Lepisosteus oculatus: one gene and its partners. The protein of the gene in region 1 binds, or shares a complex with, the protein of each later gene. Links are inferred from orthologs where the notes say so. Each region holds a gene or a part of one and is shown on either strand. Other genes may lie near its edges. The genes, in order: bud13, cwc27 and cwc22.

Evidence for each region.
Region 2: bud13 (region 1) and cwc27 share a complex: the UniProt entries of both Homo sapiens proteins name them as parts of the activated spliceosome. The link is inferred for Lepisosteus oculatus from reciprocal best matches to the Homo sapiens genes BUD13 and CWC27.
Region 3: bud13 (region 1) and cwc22 share a complex: the UniProt entries of both Homo sapiens proteins name them as parts of the minor spliceosome. The link is inferred for Lepisosteus oculatus from reciprocal best matches to the Homo sapiens genes BUD13 and CWC22.

The regions. Positions count from the first base shown.
Region 1 is NC_090718.1:5,138,980-5,145,984, forward strand, and holds the start of bud13 (BUD13 homolog), read right to left. Parts: upstream 3,069-7,005; 5' UTR 3,056-3,068; coding exon 2,922-3,055; intron 2,190-2,921; coding exon 2,099-2,189; intron 1,951-2,098; coding exon 1,866-1,950; intron 1,712-1,865; coding exon 1,654-1,711; intron 1,295-1,653; coding exon 717-1,294; intron 1-716. UniProt on the Homo sapiens protein: Involved in pre-mRNA splicing as component of the activated spliceosome. As a component of the minor spliceosome, involved in the splicing of U12-type introns in pre-mRNAs.
Region 2 is NC_090698.1:27,600,161-27,607,487, forward strand, and holds the start of cwc27 (spliceosome-associated protein CWC27 homolog), read left to right. Parts: upstream 1-4,246; 5' UTR 4,247-4,591; coding exon 4,592-4,633; intron 4,634-5,957; coding exon 5,958-6,054; intron 6,055-7,327. Other genes in the region: protein SREK1IP1, read right to left, coding at 246-398, 1,082-1,129, 3,720-3,732. UniProt on the Homo sapiens protein: As part of the spliceosome, plays a role in pre-mRNA splicing. Probable inactive PPIase with no peptidyl-prolyl cis-trans isomerase activity. As a component of the minor spliceosome, involved in the splicing of U12-type introns in pre-mRNAs.
Region 3 is NC_090707.1:19,010,365-19,017,462, reverse strand, and holds the start of cwc22 (pre-mRNA-splicing factor CWC22 homolog), read right to left. Parts: upstream 3,018-7,098; 5' UTR 2,991-3,017; coding exon 2,928-2,990; intron 1-2,927. UniProt on the Homo sapiens protein: Required for pre-mRNA splicing as component of the spliceosome. As a component of the minor spliceosome, involved in the splicing of U12-type introns in pre-mRNAs. Promotes exon-junction complex (EJC) assembly.

The DNA of each region.
Region 1 (7,005 bases):
TAGATATTCAGAAAACAGACGTTTATAAGAAAATAAATATGAAATACAACTATAACTATTCAACTTTTAACAGTATTTTACTTAGAAGAACATGAATACTAACCTTAAATAAGAGTTTTACTCTGTCTTATATATAGTGCAACAGACAAATTAGTGCTTTTCAATTCTGTTCTTGAAAAGTATGCACAGCGCACTTAAACAAGAAACAAAACCTGAAGTTTCCCCTGAGTGACACAATGACAACGCAAACACTATCAAAAGGTTTACGTTCACAAGAGAAATCAAACTCATGCTGCTCGTATGTGACGTGACAAAGCTTTGAAAGCCATTAATTACCTTCAAACTTCCTGACCTGTAAGTGAATACCGGCTTTGCAGTCAAAACTGAGAACTATCTGACTATCTATGTACTAGCGTCCAGACAGAAACCTTCTTCCTGATACAATATTCCACTCTTTACATGGTGACGCAAAAGGTCTGTCACCTGCTGCTGATGGATATACACTGTGTGATGTATGTGCTATAGATTACTTTTTATACACAGCTTGACTCTCCAGAGACTTTTGTGATAAACTTATTCAAAACTGAACCAAGCCAGATGGTGTGATTTCATGCATCCCTACAGGGTCATGAATGGGAACTGGTATAAAATAATCAGATATCAAATGGCTTATTTCTAAAAATATTACACTGTACATAAGTAAAATTGCTCTTTACCTTTGTCTTTTTTCTTATGAGTTCTTGCTGGAGAGCCCCCGTGGCTTCTAACTGGGGGAGAAGGAGATGAGGAATAATGACGTGCTCTTCTGGGGACAGTTTTCTGTCTCGATGGGGAAAGGTCGGGAGAGTGGTGACGTCTCTTCCGCTGGGGTGAAAGGTCGGGAGAGTCGTGGCGACCTTTCCGCTGGGGTGAAAGGTCGGGAGAGTGGTGACGTCTCTTTCGCTGGGGTGAAAGGTCAGGAGAGTCGTGGCGACCTTTCCACTGGGGTGAAAGGTCGGGAGAGTCGTGGCGACCTTTCCGCTGGGGTGAAAGGTCAGGAGAGTCGTGGCGACCTTTCCGCTGGGGTGAAAGGTCGGGAGAGTCGTGGCGACCTTTCTGCTGGGGTGAAAGGTCGGGAGAGTCGTGGCGACCTTTCTGCTGGGGTGAAAGGTCGGGAGAGTCGTGGCGACCTTTCTGCTGGGGTGAAAGGTCGGGAGAGTCATGACGGCTCCTTTTCACAGAGGAAAAATCTGGAGAATCATGACGACCTTTTCTTGATGTCTCTTCTATTCTCTTTTGAGAGGCAGCTCCTGAACTGAAATGGACAATTACACAGATGAACTCAAATGTTACACACTTGTTTTAATGTATTCTGTTTTATGATCTGTAATGTTTTAGAAATATCCACATTTTAAGCACCAAAGAAACTCAATGACAGCTCATTATTGTCTCTTATACTCCAATACTGAAAGCCTGGACAAACAAATGCTCCTAACAGTGTTGCTTCTTGGGGGGCATTCTTCATTAATAATTTAACAGTGGAAGTGCCTCTTGTGAGTCAAAATGATCTCATAGCATTTGAGCTGCTTTAACAGACATGCATCGAACTGTACCACATACAAAGCCGAGACAATCATAAGAAAAATTAAAATACATTAAACATCAGTTCTGTACCTTGCTGATGAACGGACACCCTGGAACTTGTCTGAATCCTGAAAATCTTCATTAGTACCTAGAAGACCAAACATAATAATATTTGATAAAACTGCTTAGAAACTCAAATCAAATATTATGTATGCACCTAGACAATTACAGTACAACTTTATAGATGCTAAATCATCAGAATGCTAGCCCCAAAAGAGCAGGTAAGCATCGGTTACTCTTACCTCCCAAAGTTTTCCACCGCTTGCTGTTCCTGAACTCCTCCAGTCTCTTCACCTCCTCCGGACGCTCATCTATCACTTCTGCCACCTACAAGAGGAAGACGACAACAGAGCACGCAGAAGGAACAGCTTTTGTGCAAAGATTCTCCACAAGGTTCAGGACAGCAGAAATGCACCTAAACATAGTTTAAGCCAATGCATTTGTAAATGAATGTAAACTATAAAGGAATTCCTACCACTGGAGCCTCTTCTTCCTCCTCGTAGTCGTCCTTCTCTTCTGACTTTATCAGCTGCTTCCAGTCCACATCGTCATCCACTATTCTCATCCTGCAAGCAGCAGCAACAACAGGAGGGCAAAACGTAAAAAAAACAGCAGGAATGCTCTTTTTTGTAATCACCGACATGTAGCCTGCCACAAATAAAAACGCTTTAAAAAAAGAGTCATAGCTGTTGGTCTGTTGTGGATAAACAGGCGTGATCTATCAACTCTCCCTTGAACAGTATTGCGATAAATCGTCAAAAGCTCTTCTATGGACATAAACGTGTCTCTTAAAAGATTCCTAGAAATCCTTCTCAGTTCTCATTCAGGAAGCACTTTTTCCCCAATGAAAGGTGTCCAACAGGATCTTCTCTGCCGGACTCCTGAAGTTTTTAGAGAAAGACTGGTCCTACAATACCAGAGGAGCAGGAAAACATGTCCGACACAGAGATTAGCAGAGATCCTTTGCAGCTGAAAACACTGGACATGTTAGACCCAAATTACCTTGCGACCAATAATCCTCTTTCGAGTTTCCCACAACAGAACGATCAGACCCCACAGCACAGCTTCAAAAATACATTTCTCAAGACTTCCACAACCTGGGTTATTGAGAATATAACCTCACATATACAGTACTGTAGCGTTTTATGCGGCTCGTAGAGGTAAAATCAAGACAACGCTCTCGATTGCGCTCATACACTCCACTCCAGTATCTCAGTAAGTTTAGTCCGGCCTACAACTTTCAGTCACTTTCTGCATTTCTAATGTGCCTGATTGAGTCACTGGTTCCTGAAACATACCCCTTTGCTGTAGACTGCGGTCTTTTCTTCTTGGCTTTCTTGTTTTTTGACGTTTTGCCATCTCCATCTCCGGATAAATAGCGTTTGAGATACTCGGCTTTGGAGACAGAAGCAAGCGCACTGGAAGCGGCCATTACTGCTCGTGAAAACAATCCGGGCTGACGGAGAGCCGGATGGGGTCAAAACAGTAAACGCGAAAAAATAAACAGCGAAAAGCGGAATTACGAATAAGAGAAAAAGTAAAGGATAAATACTTCAAAGCAGCCACAACAAAACATAGGTATTATTATTAGTTTATTTGTAGTTGTATCTTAGAACATGCATTCTGAAAAAGTCTGCAGTGTTAAATCAAACTCACTTTTAGTGTTTTTATCCAATACTCGGACACAGTACTAGGTTATTACAATAATGTCTCACCCACAGAACTGAAACATAAATTGAAAGCTGTTTGTTTCTTTCATTGCTATACTTATTGCTCTAATGGAAACGTTGCCTAATCAAATATTTAAGACTAAAAACCAAAAAAGGAATATGATTAATAACATTCCAGGTATTCATAAAATTAGGCAGTGATACGCTTTTTTTTGCCACCAGTTATTGAGCTATATTTATTTTTTTAAATGTAATATTGATGTCACTCGTTTCAGAATGTTCATTTCTTACTCGTTCTAAACCGATGACATTGCTGCCTTGTGAAATAAAAAATAATATTTATTACTGAAGTATTAAATGTCCTAAAGTGTTTGGGGATGGACAATTTAATACACAGCTGTAAAAGCTATAAAACCTGCTGTTCTGTAGCATTTCAACGAGATTGCCCATCTGGGATGCATGTCTATTCTTCTCGAGGAGAGAGGAATATGAGGGGAGCTCATACAAGTATTCAAAATTCTCCAAGCTGCCGAAGGAGTTTTCTCAAGGGACTCCAAAACAAACAGTGAAACACAAGCCACAGGGACACAAGTGAAAACTCCAAGAACAGAAAACAGGAGAACTTGACGCCGATACTCTGGTTTCCTTCAAGAAATGGCTGGATGAGATTCTTCCAGATCAATTAACTAATAACTACCAAATGGGCTAATCACAGGGCATGGCCACCTCTTGTTTTAACAGTAACTGTTCTTATAATCTTATACTGTATTCTAATTAGTAATGACTAAATACTTAATGTTGCGTTTCCTCACAGAGTTGAACAGGTTGCTAAAATCAATGCTAAACAATCAGGGAAATCTGGTGTACAGATAAAAATATCTTTCTATTTGAACTCACATGTAAGTCTAAAACAAAGAACAAAACCTGGAGATTATCTTTACACCGTTAATAACCTACAGTATAATTCCTAATCAGAAACGGAAAACTATAAATATATTTTTATAGCGATCAGCCAACCCCACTGTTCAAAGTACAAAGTTGTACGGGTTGCTAAAATCAATGCTAAATGATCAGGGAAATCTGGTGTTCAGATGAAAATATCTTTCTGTTTAGCTGTTTAACTTTACTGTATGTCAGACTGTTGGTCTGTGTCTCTGTCTTCTCTGTCTATTGGAAGTGTATAAATCTAAGCAATGTCTTGAATTGTCAGCTCAAGTGAACAGCACAGACGGTATACAGTACTGTACTATTTAGAGGTCCGTGTGATCCAGGATGATTTTGAGGATATTAGACAAAGAATAAATTAACTCCATTTACTGTACATTGTTTTTGCATGTTCAGAAACTCATTTTTCTTTGGTGGAAAGGTTTCAGTTTCATTTCTTTGCTGTGACCAAGAGTACTGCTAAGGGTGTGGTTTTCTAATGGGGATTCCAACAATGTGGGCCTTGATATAATCTGTACAACAGGATGAATCACTCTGGATTGGAGCCATGCTGCTATCGTACTCCTGGGGAGGAAGCTGCACTCCGATTGCAGTATTAATGAAGACTCTCCAGCTTGTCATTGTAAATGAAAATGTGCTCTCAGCTGACTCATCTTGTTAAATAAGGTTTTATTTGATAAAAAAACGATTCTTCACTTATATCAGGTTGAATGTACTTTATATGATATGGAACAAGTAATAGGTTTATTCCATGCTGAAAAGAGAAGAGAGAAAACAGCAGCATGGAACAAACCTGTTACTTGTTCCTTTGCAGACTACGCATGCTGACGCAGCCCCCCACCTGGACTACCTGATATGCTACTTTATACTGTAACTGTGCCATTAGGTGTTGTCTACTACTGCAGTGTAGCACTTTTACACTTTTCATTTCATACAGAAATTCTGTAATTGTTATGGTGTTGACGTTTTCCTTAAAGCTTATCATTTTTGGCAGCCTTTACTTCTTCATCTATTTCTTTCTTTTCATTTTTAAAATGATATCTGGTTTTATTATGTATTCTGTATACTATACTTGTTTTTACTGTACAATGTATGAAAAGTGTCTTGAAAAGGCTCTATATAACAATAAAATAAATTGATGATAAAAATGTTTTAATTATTCAATAAGGATAAAATATACTGCTTTAATGAAGAACATAATTTGTTTTCTCTATTAATAACGAAATACCCAGAAATTTGGAAATCATGAGTGTCATGGATGAGATTGAATAAACTGTAATTGTATTTTTTTATTTGTTTTTATTTTGAAAGCCAATGTTTATATAATCTTGTTTTAACTTAATTTAGTCCAGATCTTTGGGCACAGTTAGGAGTATCGGTTTATAAAGTAAAATGGTTTCAGTTTCATTTCTTGACTGACACAAAGTTTTTTTTGTGGGGGTGTTTATTTTAATTTATAAGTACAGTGTGCATCTTATCACCAGTAAACATCTACATTAAACATTATTTACCTGACAAAGGTTTTTAAAATACTGTACTTAAAATCTTTCAAATGTATGTTAAGGTTTAATTGGATACCTAAACTACATCATATTATTCTCTCTCACATTGTGTTAATATATTTGGAAATAAAAGTTAAATCTAAGCAGAGGAAGGAAAACATGTAAAAGCCATTATCAAAAAGCAAAAGCAAAAAAAGTTCTTGAGAAGGTTATTGGCGATAAAAGATGAGTGTGTTCGTTTTTTCTTAAGGAAATGTGGCATTTTTCATATTCACATACACTTCTAAAACCTGCTTTTCTTTATCCCTCGATTGGTTTTGAGGACAGGAGTTTTATATATTAATACCATGTGTCCATACAGAAACTTTGAGACGTTTTTTTCTATAGAACAAAAAACTGTGTAACATCTTTATGTTCCTAATTTTAAATATCTGAAAGCAAAATATAGAAATTTAAGGTAAACGCAACTAACATTCTTCATGGGCAAATATTTTGAATATTTTTTGTAGGGAGGTATTTAAACACCCTTTCTTGGAAAATGACTTAACTGTTGGACTTTTTACAGTAAGACGACTCCACTGACTTCTTCCTCAAACATTTGATGGTCTTTTCATCTAGTAATTTTTCACTGAATTTCAAATGATGATAGTTTAAGTATTTTTAAAAGAATAAACAAATTATTTATTTCCATAAATAAGACTTTATTCAGAAGTTACATACAATTTTATAAATATCCCAATCTATACTACTTGATATAAATTAACATCTATTGATATCTAATATTCATGCTTTTATATATATATACACTGAAGTAGTTCACGTAGGGAGCTGCGTCTGCATATGTGGGCTGCAGAGGAAAAAGTACAGGTTTATTCCAGCTGAAAAGAGAAGAAAAGAAACATGTTTCGGCTGTGGAGCTTTGACCCACGAATATTATATATCAAGACTTTCTGAACAAGTTTTAATGTGATCATGTGTTAAAAATGGACTAAACTGTTTATTGGCAAGTCAGGTGTAAAAGGGTAACGAATATGATTAAGAATATTTTTCTGGAATTGTTTTTATGGAATTAACAGTAGCCCCCTCTGTTTGTTCACATTTTCTTTAGCAGTTTTGTGGGTATGGAGAGGGTGCACTGCTCGTTCATAATTTTAAATAAAACTTTGTTCGAGGAAAACAAGCGTCTAACGAGTCTGGTCATGAACATCTTCTTTTCCAGCCTCTATTGCTGTCAGAGCCTGCAGAGCTACACCGAGCCTGAAGAT
Region 2 (7,327 bases), on another chromosome or scaffold:
AAATTTTTCACACCACTGTAAATGTCTATGGAAAGTCAAGTCAAACCTGAAAAAAAAAAGAAAACAAATACCCTGGCTGTGAACAGGTTAAAATTTCACAAAATACAAAACGTCTGCACTAATTTTCTAAAAGACATGCAGTATTCCCCTTCATTCAATCGAGGATGCATTTTCTCACTTGTCCACCTAATTGATTTATTTAGTAGGGCTGTTGGCATCCAATCCAGAAGCAGGCAGGTACTTACTCTTCGCAGTCGAGCTTGCCTGCACTCGTTCATTCAGAACTTCCTGCTCCTCTTCCTCACTCTCCTCACTGCTGGTGCTGCTCACATCCAGGACGATGTCCTTCCTGGGATCCACACGCACAAAGTTTCGGCACTCAAAGGTCAAGTGACCAGCTGAAACGTAAACAACCAAAGCTGGACATGAGAAGTGAGAAGTTACCCCCTGTGATAAGACATCAGAAAAATAATCGATCTGTCAAATGCCCGAAATGTGAAAAGACAAAATAATGTATCCTCTTTTACAATTAACAGTCTGTGAGCTTCATCAGCAATCCTGAAGAACATTTTATAACAACTGATGTGTATACTCAAGAGACCCTCAGGTGAAATCCTGAAAACAACACTTTGCAGCTCAAAATTCAAAGATTCCCTCCCACATTCTTCCAGTTCTACAGTTTAATGAGAAAAGACTTAAAAAACTGAATGTCTGACCACAGAGTCCGGTGTTGTTTGCATCAGTTGCCATTTTATGTGAGTAGACAGTGTTAAAGAATATTATTGGGTACATGAAATGTAGAAGAATAGTAGTTGAAATAATGTTCATGCAAAAACCTGTCTAGAAAATAAATAAAATTTCAATTCAAACATGGTTTTATTTTTAGATGCAAAACCAGATACTTTCCTTCACAACAGTCTCATTAAAAACACTATGGGTATTCAAAACACAAATTACTTACTATCCATGCCATCTAATGCTGGTACAGTACATTTCCCTTTAAAGACTACAACTCATTAATACATTCTTCAGGAAAAAAATCTACTGAAAAAATCTTGAGAAACAACAGGAAAATACTCACGGTATCCACACTTCTTGCATCCTGCCCTGATATTATCCTTGTTAGGACCTTTAATGAGAAATAATGTGACATTATTTCAAGCACTATGAAATCCTTTTCATTTTTTCAGCTTTCCTCAAAATTTCAAAGTGTCTCTCAAAGATGAAGCTTGAACTTCTGGGGGAGTTTTGTCACAGTAAAGCACCGTACATTTAAAGTACCTCTCTGCAGTTAAAAGGTCAAGTACTCCAAAGCTTGAATTCATTAATCAAACACAGACAGCAAGAAAGGAAATCCTTACGCTTCTAGGTAAGTGCACTGCACCTTCATAATTACCTTTTTGTTCCACTACTATTAGACAGGAGACACTTCTCCTTCTGTAGCAAAAAGGCTCTTAACAAAAATCATCTGAAAATTACCTTATTGAAAAGGGCTCTTTTCCAAACCCTTTTAAGGAGACTAAAATAATACCTCCTGAGGTGAATAAAGTATTCAGGAAAGGAAATATAAAATGTGAAAAGCCTTTCGAAGTTCAAGATTCAAAAGCTGAATCAAATGTTTCAAAATTATTGTGTGTAAGTCACTACAGGACCATTTCTCAGAATGATTATGATTATATTATACTATATAATAATATATAAGTTTTATATTTCGTTTTATTTACTCAAAACTTTTTTGTGCTAAAATATTAAGACTAAGTATTTTCCTTATTTTTAATTAAGATGTGACTAAAGTTCTAAATGATGTCACTACAACTGGAGACAAGCACTACTGCACTTATTTAATCTCAAAACCAGAATTGCTAAAATGAAGGTTAAAACCTTCAATGAAAAAAACCTCTACAAATGGCACATGTAAAGATATAATCTGAACTATCTGAAAAACCAAACGACAGTTCATCAAGTCAATGGTGGGTTGGCAACGTCTTTCTTTACAGCAAAGATCTCTGTGATGTACTGTGACATTCAACATGTTTTTATGTAATGAGTCAATAGCAAATATGTACAACCTTTCAGAGTAACAATTCAAAATCAATGTGTTCTATTAAAAATTTAATAGAAGACAGAAAATGACTTCCTGAGCTAAATACACCATAAAAGAAACAGCCACACATGGTTTTGTAAGCGCTGCAAAGTTAATGTATCAGTCTTGTTTAGACTTTAATTGATAACTGCTTGGTTAAAAATAATGTAGATTTATGTTTATATTTAGTTTTATTTATTCAGAACTTTTTTGTGCTAAAATATTAAGACTTAGTATTTTCCTTATTTTTAATTAAGATGTGACTCAAGTTCTAAATGATCTCACTACAACTGGAGACAAGCACTACTGCACTCATTTAATCTCAAAACCAGACTACTTTAACTTTAATTCAGCCAAGAAACTCTCTCAAATCTTTTCCAGAACTGTGGAAAATGGGTTTATGGGGGTAAAATAGCAGTGTTGTTCTTTTGTAAAGCCTTGAGCTATGATCTGAAAGATAATTATTATTACTATTAATTTATCAGATTACTTTATTCAAGAAGCCCAAGATTCTAAGCACCCAATTCAGAACACAACAGACAGTGGCTTAAACAAAAACATACCTAACATTACCTAGCTAATGTCAGGCACTTAATTTAGAATTATTTAGGACGGAAGCACCTTGATACATTACATTAGACCATATACTAATCTCAGAATCGTAATTCCAGTGTGATTAAATTGTTCCCTTATTAAACAATGTTTTTTCCAGACTTATACAGGGCAGTGACAGCTAGTCTATCAATGGAAAATAACTAGTTTACACCAAAACAAGACAGTCACATGGACCTAAAATGCCAGCAGACGACACAGAAATTTCTCTTCACACACCTGAAATCAGCCCTCACGGATGCTGAAATTACACCAGTTTAAGTCTTATACTAACTAAACCTAAAAAAGGATGTAAAAGCTTGTAGTAATGAAAAGCGTATTAAGCAAAACATAAACATAATGTGAATAATCACTCGATGTACAGTGCCTTTAAACTCCAATTAACGTAGTGAACTGTAAATCTAACAATCATACTCTGATACGGCTCCAGAAACAGTTTCAGTTAATATCTTTACACTAAACAAACCCGGATTCTTGAAAGGAATGAGCGGACGAGAGCCTCGGTTCAGCTACTGACTGCCAAATGCGTTACAGGGGCCGAATGGCCGCTTAAAGTCTGCAACCTCTTTTTACATTCTTATTAATGATCACCCTAAAAAAAATCTCTGATCCGTGATGGCAGCGTGCTCAGATTTTGAGAATACACAAGGACCCCCAGGCATTTACTGTTATTCATTCTATACTATACATGACTTCTGCACTGAACACACGAAAGACTACGTTTATTTGTTGTATGCTTCCAGTCACTCAGATATCTTTAGGCAAACTCTGGAATTAGCTTATAAGATGAAAACTAAAATATAAAAATATATCTATTAAACTGAGAACATCCTTAGTTACAGTACGTCTTGCTGTACTTCAGAGTCCCAAAACACAGCTACTGTAGCTCAGGATTGCTAGAAAATTCTCACTGCAGGCGTAGAGACAGTATCTTCCCCAAACCTTAATTTGCTTTCCCCCCCAAACGTATACTGTCAGCACGCATTCACACAAGATGATTTTCAAAGATTCGAAAGATAACAACCTGGAAGAGCCATGGCGAGACAAAGATATCCGTAAAATAAAACCAAAGCTTTCCGAAATTCAGAGCGTATACCTCACTTTCAAAACTTCCCGAAAGCTCCACCAATTAATGCACTCCCATAGGAAACAAGAATCACTTTCATCGTCTTGTTGTATTACATCATATTAAATATCTTAGACTTTTGTAATAAAACAAAAAAAACATAAATAATATCAATTTGTTGTTGCTTCTCTTAAAGCAAAAAGTATGAACGTAGCAAAGTAGGACGTGACGATAATTTTGAATTACTGTAATACTCATGTTAAACTCACAGTTACACAAAGTACACTGCAGATAAACTACAGAGGCTTAGTTACTGTCTGGTTATAATTTATTAACTTTCAAACTTGTATAACGTTTAACATACACATTATTCCAAAATTACAACATCACATTTCCGAAAAAGAAGAGGAATGAAAAGTTAATCAGCGGAGTTCACATGGTTTCCGTGGGGTGTATTTAGTGTGTAACACTGAGAAAACAGGGCTAAACCAAAGGCTACATTTAAAATGATGCTTTAAGTAATACATTTCATTTTATTACACATAAATAGAGACGAACAAACTTTCTAATTTAAAAAATGTATTAAATATTAAAACTGTTCTTTAAAATACTTCTTAAACGTTAATATTCTTTAGTTACCCCCTGCTTATTGTGGTTAAGCCAGTTTTTTTTTATACTTTAGCAACATGGTGGTCTGTTCGTTCAATTTAGGTTGATTGTGGGATTTTCACAGTGTGAATCTAAAAGAGTTTATATATTTTTGTTGAACATCGCGGGCGATTTTTTAAGGTGTGGGGCTTTTGTGTTGTTTTAAGCTATAAGGGACCAAGATGAGTAACATTTACATACAAGAACCCCCGACTAACGGCAAGGTGAGTGTTTATCCATATTACAGTGCTATACTGTATGTAAATTTAACATTAAATTCCCTACTCTTTTGTCCTGCATAAAACTTCATTTGGTGTGCTCGTTGCTCTAGGAAAACAAGCATGGTAATTCTTTTGCACAAGTGTTGCTTCAGTTCAACATTGACTCCAGATACTGTGTGGCATAATGTTAGTTATCCATTTAGAGCTATACATAACAAACTGCTTCAGTACAAAATTTTAAACAGACTCTGTTATACCCCCAGAAAAAAGTGAAAAAGATGAAGTGGCATAATACAGGAATGTGTTCCAAATGTAACACACATAAAGGATCATTATTGCACTTATGGTATTGTCAGCACATACAGTCGTTCTGGACCTCCACAGTGGGGAAAGCTCTCAGGCACCTAAATATCTCAGTTCCACTTACTCCCATTACATGTATCCTTGGTGATTTATCAAAGGTGGACTAAATGGACTAAAGAGGCTATATAACAAGTACAATTTGAAGAGATTTAATATAATTTACATGGGAAGGTTCATGAGTATAGGAATGTTTGGGGCCCATTAGAGACATACTTGAATGGCACTGGATGTTAAGAATATTAGTAGGAATTTATTTTTTGTAAAAAATTTTTTTTGGTATTGTCTAATAAGAACAAAAATGAAAGGGCGAAAAATAACAAATAAAGAAGTCCTCCAAAGTTGGTTTTTGCTTTTTACCGGCAATGATTAATGTTTCCTTCTCCTTCTGACCATCACTGACAAAATCCATGCAGATGCTATTAAACAGGGAGCTGGTGGTTGAATATGATAAGGCATACTGTGTAGTCAGTGTAGAGTGAGAGATGTAGGCTAAAATTATTTATTATTCCAGAAGTTTATAGCTGCACACAGTCATTATCTTTCTTCTTAATGACATTGATTATTATTTAGAAACATGGATCTGTCTAATAAAGTTGTGAGATTAATACAATGAGGTTTTGAGGATGAGGTTACTGACATTAACTGAGGTTAATGACGGGTCAGTCTGTTGCAGAAGTAACAGGTCTTAGCATGATAAGAAACCTTTAAGGCTAATTCGGCCCATCTTGGACCCCTCTTTATTATTAATGTAAATCTCTCAGGCTTCAGTTAGAGGAGGGTCATGTTTCCAATGATCTGAGATTAGCTAAAATGAGGTGTTGTGGCCAATGTGACTTTGCACCTCTTAGAAGAAAATCTGAGGTTTAATGTAAAATTGTACTGTATTCTTCATAATGTACTGAAATATAACTTAAATAATAGATTCATTTACTGGTAAGGTAAAAGAAATTGTTGCTTCATTTAGGTCTTATTAAAGACAACAGCTGGGGATATCGATGTGGAGCTTTGGTCTAAAGAAGCCCCAAAAGCATGCCGGAATTTTCTTCAGCTGTGTATGGAAGGTAAGGTGCACTTTTGCTTCATGTCTCTCCTCTCTTCCCGGCAGCTGTAAATCTTAAAGCTAACCTGTGCAGATGTGGCTGGAGAGAAGTGTAGGAAGAATGTAACATAAACTGTTGAAAAAAGAAGGGCATTAGGGTTCAGTGACAGATGTGGGACAGTGGAACATTAATTGTTCTTCATGACCTGAGCTGAACTTGTCTACATGCATCAAGAGACAGCTGTGGGAGGGGTATCAGGGGCTTATCATGTGTGCTGCACAGTGGTGCAGTGGTTAGCAGCGCTGCCTCACAGCGGTGAGGCCCTAGGTTCAGTTCCTGAGGTGTTTGTATGTGTTTCCTGAGTTTGTATGTTCTCCCTGTGTTCATGTGGGTTTTCTTTCGGTGCTCCGGTTTCCTCCCACAGCCCGAAGACATTAATGAAGTAACGAAAATCCAGGAAAATGCCACCTCAAGATCCTGACTTATGCTTTTGCTTACATTGTGTAAAGTGAAAGACAGGATCAGTACAAGACGAGGCCAGATAATTAAGATCAATGATGAAGATCTGCAGAGATAGCCCATTCAGCACATGCATTGCTGCCTCACAGTGCTGGGGCCCTGGGTTCAATTCCAGACATTGGGTGTTATCTGTGAGTTTGTAGGTTTTCCCGGTGTTTGCATGGGTAGGTTAATCGGCTTCTGGAAAAACTGGTGTGATGTGAGTGTGTGCATCTGTGTGTCTGCCCTGAGATGTGCTGGCCACCCTGTAATGGATGGAGCAGTTAGAAAACTGTTGCTTAAACATGTCAAAATGCTAATGTTTAAACATTAAACATGGGAAAATTGGCCCTGGTGTGAGTGCATGCGTGGCTGTGTCTTATTGCCCAGTGATAGACTTGTGTCCTGTCCAGGGTGTACCCTGCCTTGCACCCTTTTCTTGCTGGGATAGGCTCCAGCTCTCCCACGATCCTGTACTGGGTAAAGCAATTAGAAAATGGATGGAATACCAGCAGGCCTCCGAGTGCTTCTGTATGGATAGTCAGGTACAGTAGCTCCTCTCTAGAATCTATGCAAAATAAGTCCTGCTGCTGTAGTGTTTCCATACAGGTGGCAGATCAAACATTACTTATGCTTGATTCAGATATTTGGGACTTGGAATCCATTCTTGACATCTGCAGCAACAAAGATATAGGAGGTCAACCGTACCTCTGTGGCCTTATGACCAACCATTTGCATTTAAGGATTATAATCAATTTATACATTTTAGTTGTGTAGATTTATTTATACATATTTC
Region 3 (7,098 bases), on another chromosome or scaffold:
TATTATTAACTCAAAGTAAATGTCTCACAATTCTGTTAAAAAATATGTCAGCATATTCAGCTTCAATAATTTTATGTCAGTCTTAGATGTCATTGCTGCTACAGAAGAGAATAGATTTTGCAAACATATCTAAAAGTATGTCCAAAATTCAGCAGCCAGAATCCTGACCAGATCTAGTGCAAGTGTTCACATTACTCCTATCCTGGAGTCCTTGCACTGGCTTCCGGTCAAATTCCGCGTAGACTTTAAAATCCTCATGCTCACCTACAAGGCTTTACATGGCTTGGCACCTCAATACCTGTCTGAACTTTTATCGCCCTACTCCCCACCTCGCAACCTCCGCTCTTCAAATTCTGCCCTCCTTACTGTCCCCCAAGCCCGTCTACATTGTATGGGCGACAGGGCCTTCGCCTGCTATGCCCCCAAGCTCTGGAACTCCTTGCCCAAGGATATTAGAGAGTCACCTTCTCTAAACTCCTTCAAATCCATACTCAAAACCCTCCTTTTCAGAAAAGCCTTTACTTAACTGGTTCCATTCTTCACCCCTCTGCTCTTCTTAATACCATCTTCCACGGTCTCCTCTATTGTTATTGTTGTATTGTTGTAATTATAATTGTGTCCTGTCTTGTGAAATTTTCTTATTTATTGTTGTAGTCTTCTTATTTATTGTTATTGTCATCCTGTAAAGCGCTTTGAGAAGCCACCTTTAAAGGCGCTATATAAAATAAAGTTTATTATTATTATTATAAAAGTCACACCTGCCTTTCAGTACCACCCATGAGATTTACACTTTTTAGACAGACTGCTTATTCCTTTCAAAACATTTTCTAAATAATAAGAATGCAAAACCATTTGAAAACATTCAGAATTTAATTCTACACTAAGATAACAAATAAAAAGATAACATTCCGACAAAACTAACACACACCCTTGACTTTTTTTACACTATTAGACTCAGTGATTTCCCCATGCTGTGACACTTCATTTCCTTAACTACATTTCCCTCACAATAAAATTCTATCTTTCCCACTCAATTTACCTGCGTTCAAAAATCAGTTCAGAATCTGCAGGTATGAGATGGAACTAGAATACCATCAGAGATGCTACATAAATTATATGTATAATGCAATCAAATTGATCTTGACGATAAAATGTTTGAAGATCTCACGGTTCACAACTGGTTTTGGTTCACAAAACCACAGGTATTGGGGAGAAAATTCAAACAACTTGTACTGTCTACATATTACACTAGTGAAAAGTAAAAGCAGTGCTAAGCAACAGCTGGCAATGTTCAATTTTGACGGGAGACCTCCTGGGAAAAACTAAGGTTGCTGCTGGAAGAGGTGTTAGTGGGGCCAGCAGGGGGCGCTCACCCTGTGGTCCACGTGGGTCCTAATGCCCCAGTATAGTGATGGGGACACTATACTGTAAAAAGGTGCCGTCCTTTGGATGAGACGTAAAACCGAGGTCCTGACTCTCTGTGGTCGTTAAAAATCCCAGGGTGTTTCTCGAAAAGAGTAGGGGTGTAACCCCGGCGTCCTGGCCAAATTTCCCATTGGCCTTAACCAATCATGGCCTCCTAATAATCCCATCTATGAATTGGCTTCATTACTCTCTGTTCTCCTCCCCACTAATAGCTGATGTGTGGTGAGCGTTCTGGCGCACTATGGCTGCCGTCGCATCATCCAGGTGGATGCTGCACATTGGTGGTGGTGGAGGGGAGACCCCATTACCTGTAAAGCGCTTTGAGTGGAGTGTCCAGAAAAGCGCTATATAAGTGTAAGCAATTATAATTATAATTATTATTATTATTATAATTTTAATTAGTGCTGCTATCTTATTTGACTATTTTATATTAATTGTATCAGAAAAATACGGATAAATACTTGAATTTTCAACACCAGTCCATTTGGCATTAACGTTTTCCTCCACCACAAAGCAAATGAAAGGGTGTTTTACATATAATCAATAAAATACATAAACGACATAAATTCACCATAAATGAACCCTATGGCCTTTACTGAACGATAAACAGTTATCGTTTAGAAAACGGGTAACTGACATGCTCACAATTCACTGAGGTAACTGAACTTCTCCTCATCAAATGGAGTATGCTGCTACTTCCAATATTCACAGCATGTAGGCCTACATTTCAGTTTATCTTGAGAAAATCCGCTAAGAGTGAAGCAGTGCCACAAGTGTATATTAACGGAAGGAAAAGCATCTACAATCTTCCTGGAACCAGTAACGCATCACAGACAGGACGAAATAAAACTCTTAATTGTTTTCCAAAACATTTTATACAACCACCGAATCTAAACCTGCACTAGAACTATCTATAAAAACTTCGTCGCCATAATTTGTGTACTTACGGATCTAGTATCCGAGGGAAAAATGGAATAAATATACCAACACCTGTTCCTATTAAATTCGGCCTAACAATAACAAAATGCGAGAAGCTTACGTACACTTTTCTAATATTGTTGATAACTAAGTTATCGTCTCTACAACTCCAGATTTACCTTAGATGATGCAGACAAACGCGTTTTATTCAACAATGTTTTAGTTATAAACTAACCAAAAATGCGTATACTAGTAATAGTTTATTTTCGACTAATTAAACCTGGGTCATATTAGTAACAGGGGAAAAAAAACTTTTTAAGCTAGGAAATGTATTAAAATCATAATGCAGAAATATTTTTAATAGTTTTTATACCCAAGGGAAGAAATGTTTACTTGCATTGCGCCATGTGTGACAGACCGGAGTTCTTTATAGTACAGGGAAGGCCTGTACACGTTTCGTCAATGCTTAACCTTACTACGACGATCAGAACGCCTAAACATTGAAGTGATATTATATAAATAATTTACCTATGAAACTATGACAACAATATCACTCAAAGAACATGAAAATACTTTATTTTTACCTCCTCTGTTGCAGTCAAGTCGCGTCTTGTTTCAATTTCAACTTCATTCGATTCCGCGGCCATCTTTCCTCAAGTGAAGATCACCTACGGATCCTTGTAGTGCTCAAACGGCACGAATTGGTGAGCCTCACACTACCTGCTACATCAGCAAAAGAACGCGAAATTCGAAATCACAGTACAGTGTATCGAAATCTAAAATAGACCGTTACTTTACCAGCACTATAGGGAGTGATAAAAAGATAGAGGTATTTGTGTTCTAGACAAGATTTAACTAACGTGTCTAGTGATTTTAAAGATCGTTAATTATTGTTTTCATCAGCAATTTGTAGATCATTTTTAAAGAAGATTTCAGTGTAGTCTACGAACACAGCACAGCCGGAAAGCTGCAACATACAAAAGAACAACAAAAAGACTGCTGTAAGTAGCAGTTGTATGACTTCTAACATTACAGTAATATTTTGAGCTGAATGCTTCACAGCAGCATTAACATCTTAGATCCTGACTTGATCTGATCTCAGATCTCAGAAGTCTGGTCATTTTTGGGATAAAGATACTAAAGATACCAAGGTTGCTGCTGTATGTGTTTTAAGTAGACCAGTAGGTGTAACTATTTCCTTTGAAGCATGATTTCTAAAACTAATACCCCAGTATGGCAATAAGGAATACTGTGCCGTACAAACTGCTTTTCTGTCCTGGCAGTTTGGTTGTTGTTAAAGTCCCTGGACACTGTTTGTGAGACTACGGGGATGAGCTCTGTTTCACTAGATAAGTTCCATTTTAGGTCTGCACAATTTGTACAACCTGAATTTTTTAATTTAATAGGTGAAGCATTTTCTCACTTCTCCCCCTGATCTGTTGTTTATGGGGCTAGTGGTGCAAAATGGGTGCCACACATTACCCAGTTGAATGCAGTTTTCCTTTGGTGGATAATATGGGTCCCTTCAAATATGTAAAGTTCTTTGGGGTGCAAAGTGGCACATAAATGCGACGAATTATGATTTTCCTATTTATTATGGATATATTGATAAGGCATTTGATTACTGCATATGGAGACATTGTATACTGTACATATTACAAAATATCCATGGTATATTATACTTTAAATCTTAACTAAAATACCTCCATTCTTTTCTCATTTTTAGCTTTAAGTATGAATGCTGAGAGAGATTTTATGTTACTTTGGGAAACCTGCTGAGCTGTTAACATATAAAATTGTGAGCTAATTAGCACTGTACAGTATGTGTAAATATGAAATATTATTAACAAGCACTGTTTATTTCTCTTTACCCTAAAGTTAGGTTTCCATTCATGTGTGTGCATGTTTCCTCCTCCATTTTGCCGATTTTCGTACAACCTAAAATGATGGTGTAATGCTTTTGAACCTAAAAAAGATTCTCCTTTAAGTACAGGATTTGCCATCACAGAAAAAATACAGTAAGAACAAAACATAGAAAATGACTCAATGAGTCAATGAGAGGAATAAATTCATACTCTATTTGTATAGGAATTCTCAACAAAATACTCCAGAAGAGCAGAATATTTTTTCAGTGTCTGTTCATGAGAAGAAGACGTTCACATTTAAGGCTGGAATACTGTCCTTTCTACTTTTTTAAGCTTTATTGAACAAAAAGAAAGAAAACCACAGGAGTCTTTGGAATAAAAGCTAAGATGTAATGGTTAAGCATTTGCTTACCCTGGGGCATTGGCCTTGTTTTCGTGGTTTACATGAAAACACATTTTTTATTGACAAGAAAAACTAGAGCAGGCTTTACATCATGGGGCAGAGGTGGCATTAATGATGAATCTCACATCCACTTTTATGGCAGTGTGTTCCCTAAGGAGACACTTTATGCTTTACGATGCTGCCAGTGAAGCTACTTTGGTGGAGTAAATGGTGTGGAAAGGACCAAAATATTCTTGATTTTCAAAAGAATAGCATTTTTTAACAGAGACATTCTTTTTGCACAGTTTACTTGAGAAATATTTTTTTTTACAACCATAAAGTCAGTAATGTCCATAGAACTGAAGCTATGAGTGGCGTTAATAATTTATTGTGTTAGCCTTTGGGTAATGCAAGGTGGCAATGCTCTGTGTATTGTGAAAAAAAATCCCAAATCTGTAGGACAGCAGCCTATACATAGCACAAAACCGGTATGACAGTATCTTGGACAGTTGACTTTCACAGAAATCGGTCAAGGACTGGTCACACATATGCAAAATAGGGCTCTTTAGCAGTTGCTGATCAGGTCAAGACCATAGGAGTGCCATGAATTGCACAGTTTCAAGCAAGATAGCTTTAGAAAGGTCATGGTGCTTATACAAGTCATAATGATACCATCATATACATATATTATACTAAGCTTTTATTAATAACATTGTGTTACAGACTAATCTGTTTGCTGAAATTATTATATAATCACTTTCAATGCAATCCATCAATCTGAACAGCCAGTGATTGCAGTTTTTACATCAACAACACTATTAAATATTTTACATGTCTCTGCTAGTCTAATTATGAGAAAAATAGCTACTTCCTAAGATTACCATTCCATGGAAAATGCTGGGTTTTATTTTTGCATGATCAATATAGCGCAATGAATTAATTTGCTCTAGTAGACATTTCTTAAGATAGGGAGTTGAGAAAATTGCTTAGAAACTGCCTTCCTTTTTCTTTCTTAATTAAGAACTTAAATAGCTGGAACCACATTTTAAGAAAGTTATTCAATGTTCTTGCATCTGGAAGAGATCTTAAGTAGAACATGTTCACAAAAGAGGATGTTCAAAAATACAACATCAGGTTCCATATAGGCAAGTGCAAATACTGATAGATTGAATGCAAGCATTGTACTATACTTAGAAAAAGGCCAACTGTGACATTTGAGCTTTTTCTATAGCAATGTCAAACACATGAATTTCTGTTCCATAGAAGATTCTCAAGATTATAGTCCATTTTAAAAATGAGGCCTTAAAACATCAACCTGTAATTGATTTTCATGCCAGGGAGAATTACAAAGGCTGAAAAACTACAACTCAAGTAAATGCAATAATAAAATAACATGTTTACATGCATGAAATACTATAGATTCCAGTGCAATACTACTGCAGTACTCATCTAAAATACAGTACAGGAACCGTATGAGTAGCTGTAACACTACGAGGAACAGCAATGCAATAGTTCAAAATTTAAAAAAATACATCAAATATACAGTGCCTTGCGAAAGTATTCGGCCCCCTTGAACTTTTCAACCTTTTGCCACATTTCAGGCTTCAAACATAAAGATATAAATTTTTTATTTTATGTGAAGAATCACCAACAAGTGGGACACAATTGTGAAGTGGAACGAAATCTATTGGATTTTTGAAACTTTTTTAACTAATAAAAAAATGAAAAGTGGGGCGTGCAAAATTATTCGGCCCCCTTGCGTTAATACTTTGTAGAGTCACCTTTTGCTGCGATTACAGCTGCAAGTCGCTTGGGCTATGTCTCTATCAGTTTTGCACATCGAGAGACTGAAATTCTTGCCCATTCTTCCTTGCAAAACAGCTCGAGCTCAGTGAGGTTGGATGGAGAGCGTTTGTGAACAGCAGTTTTCAGCTCTTTCCACAGATTCTCGATTGGATTCAGGTCTGGACTTTGACTTGGCCATTCAAACACCTGGATACGTTTATTTGTGAACCATTCCTTTGTAGATTTTGCTGTATGTTTGGGATCATTGTCTTGTTGGAAGATAAATCTCCTTCCCAGTTTCAGGTCTTTTGCAGACTCCAACAGGTTTTCATCCAGAATGGTCCTGTATTTGGCTGCATCCATCTTCCCCTCAATTTTAACCATCTTCCCTGTCCCTGCTGAAGAAAAGCAGGCCCAAACCATGATGCTGCCACCACCATGTTTGACAGTGGGGATGGTGTGTTGAGGGTGATGAGCTGTGTTGCTTTTACGCCAAACATATCGTTTTGCATTGTGGCCAAAAAGTTCAATTTTGGTTTCATCTGACCAGAGCACCTTCTTCCACATGTTTGGGGTGTCTCCCAGGTGGCTTGTGGCAAACTTTAGACGAGACTTTTTATGGATATCTTTGAGAAATGGCTTTCTTCTTGCCACTCTTCCATAAAGGCCAGATTTGTGCAGTGTAAGACTGATTGTTGTCCTATGGACAGACTCTCCCACCTC